2 linked regions of the Nothobranchius furzeri genome follow. The protein of the gene in region 1 interacts with the protein of each later gene in a pairwise test. Links are inferred from orthologs where the notes say so. Each region holds a gene or a part of one and is shown on either strand. Other genes may lie near its edges.

Region 1 (5,629 bases):
GAGTTTGTGCAAAGATCATTTTAATGGATTTAAAAACCGTTCCTTCTTGTTTAAAAGGGCTGAACAGCTGCAGCACGTGAATAATTAAAGAAGAACTTACCATCTTCAAGAAACTGAATATCCGACGTGTCGAGGTTGTGATCCCTCTCAAAGAGCTGTTTACCTGAAGACAAACAGATTCTGGTGTCGGTGTTTCTGTAGTCAGCTCTGGTGTGTTTTCACTGGTTTGTGGAAAAGACAACTGGATTGTTGTTTTTAGAAGACGTTCGATTAGAGTTGTCACAGTGGGAAGTGCAGAGAACCGAGCTTTCACTGTGATGAGCTGGAGTGCCAGCTCACATCACCCTCTGAAGGTCAACCTGGTCCACATCTGAGATGTTTAGGGCGTGAAGAAAGGCGACACATGAAGGTGTCAAACCAGTTTCAATGCTGCATTATCAGAACTGGAAATATGAGAATCTGCTGATTGGTCAGATTAGATTCTAGGGGCGGGGCTACTATGAATAAATACCGGAAGAAGGTTGAGTGTTCAGATCCTGAACTAACGGACGACGCACTCTCACCCCTCCTCCATATTTTAACTCTTCAGTGTTTTCTGAGTCAGAACTGATAAATCAGCTCAAATATCAGTCAGGATGATGGATTTTGTTGCTTGTCCATGCTAGCCCCCATTTCTTCTCCAGTTAGCTAGGAGCTACTCATAGCTGCTGATGCGCAAGTGGCTTCCTGCATCCTAGAACGCAACACAAACCTGGCTACGGGAGTTCATTTGGCTCAAACGACAGCTTAAACCTCGTCATTGTTTCACATCAAGGTCACATCACGATCCCACAAGCCCAGCCCACATCCTCCAGCAGGTCTTGGTTTGGTTCTTTTGTTCTGCATCCTGGTAAAACAACTTTGTTCAGAAGAACTGAACCATGGAGGTAAATTTAAATTGACTAAATGCTGCAAGTGTGGAAACACCATTGTGCTACAATCAATTTCAGTTACAGTTTCAAGCACTCTACATGTGTTACCTTTTTAAATGGAGAACTCACTACAGCCGTGAAACTGCTCACATGTCAGGTCTGAAGTGAGAAAACTTCTCTGAGGAGCAGGGGTCTCATTTATCAAGCTTGCTTACGCACAAAACGGGGTCGGAAAACTGCGTAAGCAACTTTCCACGCAAACTAGGATTTATAAAAGAAAACTTAGCGGAAAAATGTGCGCAACTTTAAGTTGACTAAGGACCTGGCTTACGCACATTTTGGACATGGAGAGCACCTGCAGTGCTGCTGCTGAGAAGGATACAATTATGAAATCCTGCAGCATTATCACTTGTACTGCTTCGTTTTCACACAGAACAAGACCCCCCCCCCCCCCCCGCACACACACACAGCTTGAAGCGCAGAATACGGAATGCTGAATATCAGCAGGGGGACAGATTGAGACAGAATGTCATGCGTCTGTGACGGTGTGAGTGTCTTGTCACTGTGACCTGATTGATCATGCGCCCTGGCTACTTGGACAAGGGGATGTCCCTTTGGCTAACTGGTTAGCGCGTGACTTTCACGCAGGAGTCTGGGGATCGAGTCCCAATCGGACCACTTTTTTTTAATCTCCACCACAGATCTCTCTGAAAAATTCACAACATTGACGGCTTCAGCAACGCTGTGCCACTCCGTGGATTTTCTCTTATTTGTTTTGCAAAAGCACTTCCTTTCATTTCTCCACCTCACCTACAAGTACCTCAATTTCTGCTTCTGTGAAATAGCGCTTCCTTGATCTACGGTCGCCATCGTCATTGGCGGAGCGCTGCAACAGCCGGCTTATGTATATGCATGAGATCCACAAGGCACTTTGCATTGACCATTTAAGGCAGTAAGTGGGTGTGTTGAGGGCGGGATGTGACTCAGAAACAGCTGAGAACCTTTCTCGTTAGTCTCTGATTTATTAAGCGGAGATTGCGTGCAGCTGTGTGTACTCCAAGTTTGATAGATCACAAACCTACTTGGCATAAATACATTTTTTTGCTGAGCTTAAGTACGGTTTTAGTAAGTATTCTACACAATGTTTGATCAATGAGACTCCTGATCAGCCCCATCCTGGGAATCTGGACCAACAGGCTTACCAGTCAGTTTGGGTTTTCCAGCCTGCTCCTCCTCTTTCTGTCTTTTTCTTCTAAGTTCCGTCATCTCCAGCTCAAACTTGGCTTTCCATGCCAGGAAGTTTTCAATGGTCACCACTGTGCCCTGGAACGCCACCTACCAAACAGGGAGAAACCATTAACAGAAAATCAAAGCAGCACTGAGCCCAGGGAGATGGATGAAAAATCTGGTCATGCCTTAAGTCGAACAGGAAAATCCTCAGTGCCTGTTGCTTAATCTAAAATAAGACTAATCACCATTACCTTCTCTGCTTCCTCTGCTTCCTTCTCTTTCTGACGTCGTTCCTCTTCTTGCCTGTTTTTCATTGCATCCACTATTTCATTTAGTTTTTCCTGGACAGCTGTCACCAGGGTAAAAATCATCACCATCCCCAAGTTCTCCTCAGCCTGAAGAGTGACACGAATCACATGAAATCAGACCAACAACCGGATGTTAAAACACCTAAAAATGACCTGAAACAGTTTGAGCCTTTCATATGCAGAGTTACCATTCACCCCAAGACAGTCTGAGCTCATTCCTGAAGACACCCAACGTTTACAGAGAGTGAAGGCGACATGTACTGACAGACCTGCTGCTGCAGTAAGGTGAGGATGTCCTCCGCATCCTGGTCCTCCAGGTTCTCCTGGGAGTAGATCTCCCACAACGGAGGCTCATCAGGGTATTTGGCTACATATGTAAACCTTAGCGTTGCTTCCACCGCTGTAACAAACAGAAAGCTGTTTGTTATGACACCTTACACAGAAACTCAATGACTGGCGTTTGAAACAAAACCTCCCAATCACACGTGATGAATGACCTGCACTTGTACAGTGCCAGTCTGAGCCAGATGAGTCCAAAGTGCTTTACACTACAGTTATTCATCCATTCACTCTGGTGGTGATGAGCTGCATCGTAGCCACAGCACACTGGCAGAGGTGATCCAAAAGCTGAGTTTTGATGTGATGGTGAAAAGTGTGCTAGATGTAAAAGGTGTTGGAGGTATAGAAGGCTAGGGGGCGTGGGAGGAGAGTATGAGGTGTACTCACTCTCGCCGTGTTCCCCAGCATCTGACGTCACATTGATGGTGAAACTGGTGGGGTCTTCAGACAGCACTGAGAGCACATCAGAGGAAATAATCTCTATGAACTCATACCAACAGGTTCAGATAAACACTAAAGTTTGAAATTCACTCCACAATTAAACGTTCCAACATTGCAGCTACATAGATGCTTTAACTCTGTGTTCCACCATGGAACTTCCAGATGTTCTTTAGCTACTAGCATGTTCAAACACACTCCAGAAGTAAAAACGGAATCGGTCTTGGGTTCAGTAGGTTAAACCCGACTGTAGTCCCAGGAACTGGACAACCCCTATGTCAGCCTAGCCTTCATATCTGGGAACACACCGGGAAAATGCTGTTCTAATCGGTTAGCTGACGCCTGCTAGCTGGAAGCTAGAAATTAAAACGTGACGAAGATCGAACCTGTAAACGAGTCAGGATAGATGGATTCTATAGCTTCAAGTTCATTTCTTTGCTCTTCAAGGTAGTCCGTCATTTTTGAGTATCTGAAGGTTATCTGGTCTTCAATAGAACCATGACAGGCACAAAAACGCTACCGCGAGGGACCCACTCACTATCAATCGATGATATCAAGGATCGAACATTTGGTCTGACAAACTGTGGCCTACGTAAGGCGCGTTACTGCCACCTGCTGGACAAGAGTGGAACCAGATTGTTCTCTCTGAGCTTAAAACAGAATCAACGGTATCATTTCTATTTAGCATCTAACAATGAAGCACTGCAGTGTGATTGTATTATAAATAAAGTAGTATATTGTAGTAATAATAAAGAATAGAAAGCAGAAAATGATAAAACAAGATAGCTTATTCAAAAACCAATTAAAAAAGGAATGAGTGAACAAAAGAAAAATCAGTAATTATTGTGACCACTTTCTTCTACCTACACGTGCACACCGTTGTCGCAGGAACTGGGCTTGTAGGTTGTTCCAAACATCTTGGAGAACTAACTACAGATCTTCTGTGGATGTAGGCTTCCTCACATCATTCTGTCTCCATGTAATGTTGAGATCAGGGCTCTGTGGGGGGCCAGACCATCCAGGACTTCTGGTTCTTCACGCTGAAGACAGTTCTTAATGACTTTGGCTGGATGTTTTGGGTCACTTACTTTTATCTTTTGTAAATTAAAAAAAAACATTTAAAAAATAATTATTTATGTTTCTGAAAAGACTATTTGTTTACAGCATTATTTTTTAAATCTGGTGCACCATTTCCTGGACCTAAAGTTGCTCACATCACAACTGAGCTTCAGAAGGCTATTGGAGAGAACGATTGTGCCTTTTGCACTTCTAATATAGAAACTGAGATACATTTATTTTTCACATGCATCTTTACCAAAATTTTCTGGGATAGTTTTCACTCGTGGTTAACGCATAATAATTTCATTATACGCTCCTTATCTTTTTCTGACATCAAGTATGGTATTAGTTTGGAGAATAAAATGCAGCAATTCACTGTCAATAATTTGATTATTTTCGCCAAATTCTTTATACACAAATGTAAATTTGGCAATATCAAACCGATCTTTATTGTTTTTATTTAAAGAACTTGCATCCTTTATGGATTCCATGTAGTTCCAAGAAAGCCATTTGGCTCTATAACAATTTGGTGAATGTTTCCTTTACTCCTAATAATGTTGTTTGATGTAATATATATATATATATGTCATGCTCAGAATTCAACTGTAAATATTGATTCTTATGTAAGCCTGTAAGCTTCATTGGTTAAATAAAACTTGTTTTAAAAAAAAGCTTCAGAAGGCAGGTTTTGGAGTCTTATTTCCTGATAATTGGACATCTCACCCTGGATTGGATAACAGCAGGGTGACTCTACCACTGACTCTGTTTGCTCTGTAAAGTTGATAATTTATCTCCACAACTTACACAAGCCTGTAGGAGCTTCTGCTGTACGGTGAAGTTGTTATGCTAACAGTTAGCTTCCACAAGCTGAGATGTTCTCTGCTGGACGCTAAACCAACAACTTCCCCGTCATGAGTCAAGGTGGGTGATTCCATGAATGTTAAGTGACAGTGTAGATCTGTCAGACTTTTTTCAAGTCCTAGCCTTTCACTGCCTATTTTCTATCAGAAGCTAATGCAGGAGATAGGTGTAGGAGACTATTTTCATGTTCAGTCTGCATGAAAATCTCAAAGACTGATTATTATCAGAAATTCTCATTAAAAATTCAGTTTTTTTAGTGAACTACACCTTTAAAGTGTTTTGGAAAAGTGTCTGGAGTACGGAAGGGAACATTATGATTACTCTGGAATTTAAACACGTTACAAACGTTTCCTGAACGCCTCCTGTGGTTCAAGATCTGCTGCAGCACAGATGGTCTGTGACACAGTGACCCAAGGTGTCTGCCTCATCTCTTCATGTGTCCCTGTGATGGACAGGTTACCTGTTGGTGTCTAACCAGATGAA
Region 2 (4,896 bases), on another chromosome or scaffold:
CAAATCCACAAAATACATGTAGATTGGTTGGGTGAACCCCACGCACCCTCCAGGACCCCCTAAAGCCGGGCGTACACTGTGCGACTTTTTCACTTTTTTGAGCCGATTTTCCAGTCGTGCGAGAAGCCACGACATCGGGGCGAGTTTTGCGCCGAGCGGTCGTGTAGTGTACAGGGGGTTACGAGAGGCGATTAACACCACGTGACCAGCCGCCGATCAGCAGTCATGAGGTCGCAGGGACTTCTGGTGTGTTTAATATTTCGCTCGTCCCTCGTGAGGGTATCGCACTGTTGAAGCGGCGCTGCGAGCAGCTGCGAGCAGCTACGATCCAAAAAGTATCAGAACCGCTCACGGCGCATGCGCGCGCGATCCTGCATCAACGCCGGCCGGTCGCTCGCTATTTCCATAATAACACACGCTGTGCGTTTTTGTTTCTACACGTTTTTTTTACTCACAAAGATTGTCAAGAAAGCGTGTTTGTCGTGTTCATGTCAAATTAAACTGATCACAAAACACAGATTTACTTTCTTTATTTCGTTTCCTCATCCAACCCCCATAAATCCCTGTGTGTCCTCCTGCAGCATGCCCGAAGGACAACAGGCAAGACAAAAAAGTCTGACGTGTTGAGTAAAAACTGCTATTTTTAGCACATTTTTAGGGCCGACGTGTTGCTACCAGACGTACAGTGTGAGCAGTCAGGTCGCATGCGAGAACTGGGTCGTGCAGTGTGAGCACACGACTCGTGAGATCTGCTCTGCGAGGAAGTCGTACAGTTTGAGCTGAAGCTGAACGCTGCGAGTGAAAAAGTCGCACAGTGTACGCCCGGCTTAAGGGTATAGAGGTGGCCCAGCGTTCCACGGCCAGGACGAAAACCACATTGCTCCTCCTGAATCTGAGGTTCGACAATCTGCCGGACCCTCCTCTCCAGAACCCCTGATTAGACGTTACCCCTGTAGTTGGAACACGTCCTGCAGTACCCCTTTTTAAACGAGGGACCGCAAAATCAGAAAATCCTGAATCAAACTGAAATCGCTATTCAATCTTTCCTTAAACTCGTTCAGCCCTAGTTTGCATAATAAATTTCAGAACTAAACTTTCTGGTAATGAAATGTTTCTGTGTTAGAGCGTCCTGATTTTAATGATGCCATTATCATGAGACGAGGAGCATCTGTAGAACATGTGGTAGGTAGAGCACACTGGCACTGTACAGATTCAAACTGAGCATTCAGTGTTTAAGTAAATTTGAAGGTCTTTAATTGTTGTTGTTGTTGTTTTTACCTACAGTGCCACAGAATCCACAGAACCTTAGCCAGCCAGTTCAAATACGCCCTGGTGTGGGTAAGTGAGGTTAAACCTTCACTGGTTTCTGTTGTTCTCTTGGAGCTGTAGATCAACAAACTGTTACAAATATTTTCTGTTTACAATGTTCTGAGGTCAACAGGGTTCAGGTTTGAAGAGAATATATTTTGCAAAACTCACCTTTTGCAAACCATCTGTCTATTTTCTGTAAGTGTTTGGATTTAGGAATTACATGCCTGAAACAAGTCGTTTAAAAAAGTTGCCGTTTGTGATGTCACAAGAAGGGTAATAAATTATAGAACCATGTATCACCTGTCTACACTTGAGGAGCAGTGGTTCTACTCCAAGCCTCTCCCAGATATCAGAGCTTCTCAGCTCATAGTAGCCAAGCAGGGAAGGGGTGGGCGTGGCCAGCTCTAGCTTGTTGTCTTAAAGTGACAGAGCCATGAAACGGCTCATTCTGGAAGGTACTGAAAATGTGCTCTTGGTTATTTATTTATTGCAGTTTCAAATTATTAAGACCTCATGAACACGAAGACATTTTATTCGTTAAAAAGTACAAAAACAATGCTGATGAATTTCCTTAAGCAAATTAGCGTGAATACAAGTTTTGAAAATCATAAAATCAAAATTAGGTGTCTCTAAATAAAAACTGGTCTATGTTGAAAAGAATAAAATTTTATTGTACAGGAAAGCAATGTCCCCTTACGATGGTGCGGGGTCAAAGTTCACATCAACACAAATATTAAAACTAAACAAGGAACTAACAAAAGAATCTTGAACAATCCCACATTTCACTTCCTTGCTTTTAACACAGTTGGTGATGGGAGTTTTAAACGGCTAACTTCCTAACCTCCTATAGCAGCTAGCTTTGCTGCAATGCTGAAGTTAGCTTGTGTGTTAACAGGAACAGCAATTGCGGATTAGATTTTTGACGTTTTTATTTCTGTTCTCTGTAACAGAGCTACAGCTGATGATGTTGTATTATTCTAACTTTGCTTCAGGTTTTGTAAAATTACTGTTAAAGCAACACTTAAGTTCCCAGCTTCTCCCTCCTTCTGGTTGAAAGCGGAATTGCAACTGCCAAGCAACCTTGCCGCAGCCTGCTGTAGCTAGAGCTAACAATAAGCTAATGCTAACTCAAGCCACAAATTACAAAAGATCCACACTGGTGGACAATATTATTACTTACAAGTCCAGCAACAAAGCCAGGTCACCATCAGTCCGTGATTTCATAACCTCCTTCAGCGCCCTCAAACGAGTGTAGGCCGCGCCGATGTTCACTCTGGTTTTAGTTCTTTGCTTCACCTCCAAAACATCACTCTTACTTTCAGGCTCCATCACGATGCCAACAAAAAGAAAAGTCTTCTTCTTGTGTTTTATCTTTTTTTTTTTATTAATGATCGGCAAACTGAAAGAGCTAACTGTTAGCCTTTATATGAGCTTCTGGCACAGCTGTTGCTTTAAAGCAGGTAGAGACCTCCCACTAGTGTTCCTACCCGAACTGTTTAGTGCAACTTCTGGTCAGCAGAGGGCGACAGAGTGCTGTCCAATGGGAAGTAGCTCTGGTTTCTGGCTCAAGAACCACTAAAACCAGTTTGAAAGCAATAACTTAAAGAGCAAGTCACCCCCAAATCAACTTTTTTTTTGCTGATAAACTATATAAATCGGTGTCTGATCGTACTGTAGACAGAAGTCATCAATAATTTGGTGCTGTAGTGCATCTTTGTTAAAATATAAATATTCTGCCTTAAACTGTCAGTGTTGCACCCTCTTCAGGTAAAAACTCTGCACTGCATTTTCATTTAAATCTGCCATTGCTATTGGCTAAGAAGTATCAAATCTCATCAGCTGGTACCATATGATGTCACAATGTCACTGTGAGCTTGTATTTGTTAGCAGCTCCGCCCTCTCGGTCTGCTAGGCAACAGCATTTGTTGCATTTTTCAAACAGGTAGTGGGAGTGGAGTAATACTCTGGGAGGAGGTGACTGGGGACTGCACACCATCAGAAAATGTAACTCCACCCCTAGTCAACATTTGAAAAATGCCATGAAAGTGGGCGTTGCCAGGAGGCAGGAAGTGGCATGGGCAAGTGTGGGGAATTTCCATCCTGGGAGGGAGGAGGAGTGGGAGGAGACTGTACTGATGGCGTGAAATTGTACCAGCCCCAGTCGATCACAAGTTTAAAATGCAGTAGCCACTGTTGTGCCACAGGGGGCAGCACTAAGACGTTTTTAGACCTAGATTCTAGATCTAATCAAGTTTACACAAGCATGTCAAAAAATGCACAGAAACGGAAAGATTGCATTTGTAAAAACTCAATTATACAGCTAATTAGCAAAAAAAAAAGTAATTTTGGTGTTTAGTTACTCTTTCAAGTGTTAAAATCTCTTTAGTGTTGCTTTAAGTGGCCCTATCCCTAAGCCACCATGGGGCCACACAAACATTTGGAAGTTTATTCTTTTTGCCATGCAAAACTAGATGAATAAGAATAGTGTAGACCTCTTTTTGTTGACAAATTGTCAAATTTCTCTCTGTTCCTTTTTTAAGAAAGCATTTTAATGAAACAGATTTACTAGCAAAGCGTTTCATCAGTAGTTCTGTGTTTTCTCTCCAGGGAACCAGTACCAAATACAGTCCTCAGAGGGTGGGCCTGACACACGTCATGGAGCACGAAGACGTCATCCAGATTGTAAAGAAGTGAAGAACTTGTTGTGATTGGACCGGACCGGCGTCAGAGGAGGAACTCTGTGCAGTAGTTATACAGCAAAGGAAAATAACCAACGTCCTTATTTTGTATAATAAGTTTAACAGTAAGTGGAAGAAAGGGAACGCTGCGGAGCAGATCCTGGACTGAAATCAGTTTATGTTACCGATGATTTAGAGAAAATGGGGAAATAAATTCCACATTTTAAAATAACGATGGGCTGTTTTATCATTCAAACACATCACCTGTTCAGCACCTGTTCCCATCCGTGCTAGCCTGCTGTTTGTTACCCCATCTCCAAAGCGAGCGGCCGCTTTCCTCTCGGAGCGAATGGCTCACACAAACACAATAGTGGTATTAAATATTAACGAGCACCTCTTTGGTCTGGGAGAGGGGCTCTGAGTGGGAGGCTTCATCCGAGACGCAGAGGAACTGGAAGTTGGACCTAAAGATGTCGTAATGATGTCTCGTCATTGGGCGTCGTGGATGAAGAGGTTCTGTTTCGGAATAACCTGAAGCGGAGCGCAGAGATGGAGCGTTCTGGAGCAGAATAACAAAGCAAAGGTACAGCAGGCTGGGTGTGTGTTGATCAGAGTTGGCCTGACACTTGATGCTGCTGTGTGTGTGTGTGAGGTCAGTAAACAAAAGCTGGAAATGTGCGTTTAGGAAGCAGTTTTTCTTGTTTTGTTATAAAACAGGGTTGGCCAACATTTTGTTTCAGAGATTATTCGATTATTCGTGGAACAGCGAGTTGGCACCTGGAAAACTTTCCTTGAACTCCTGTTGGTGGGTCAGAACTGAGCAGCATAAACATTTCTGCCAATAAAACACGACATCACACTCATCCGTGATGAGAGCCTCCCGTTCCACCACATCCCAAAGGTTCTG

The links. The genes of interacting proteins can lie anywhere in the genome.
Region 2: the proteins of rwdd1 (region 1) and drg2 interact in binary tests that used the Homo sapiens proteins (3 or more experiments, as listed by UniProt). The link is inferred for Nothobranchius furzeri from reciprocal best matches to the Homo sapiens genes RWDD1 and DRG2.

What each region holds. Positions count from the first base shown.
Region 1 is NC_091745.1:58,580,355-58,585,983, reverse strand, and holds the start of rwdd1 (RWD domain-containing protein 1), read right to left. Parts: upstream 3,806-5,629; 5' UTR 3,686-3,805; coding exon 3,613-3,685; intron 3,242-3,612; coding exon 3,176-3,241; intron 2,850-3,175; coding exon 2,719-2,849; intron 2,537-2,718; coding exon 2,393-2,536; intron 2,247-2,392; coding exon 2,114-2,246; intron 164-2,113; coding exon 101-163; intron 1-100. UniProt on the Homo sapiens protein: Protects DRG2 from proteolytic degradation.
Region 2 is NC_091752.1:63,806,159-63,811,054, forward strand, and holds the end of drg2 (developmentally-regulated GTP-binding protein 2), read left to right. Parts: intron 1-1,123; coding exon 1,124-1,182; intron 1,183-1,284; coding exon 1,285-1,338; intron 1,339-3,918; coding exon 3,919-4,005; 3' UTR 4,006-4,221; downstream 4,222-4,896. UniProt on the Homo sapiens protein: Catalyzes the conversion of GTP to GDP through hydrolysis of the gamma-phosphate bond in GTP. When hydroxylated at C-3 of 'Lys-21' by JMJD7, may bind to RNA and play a role in translation.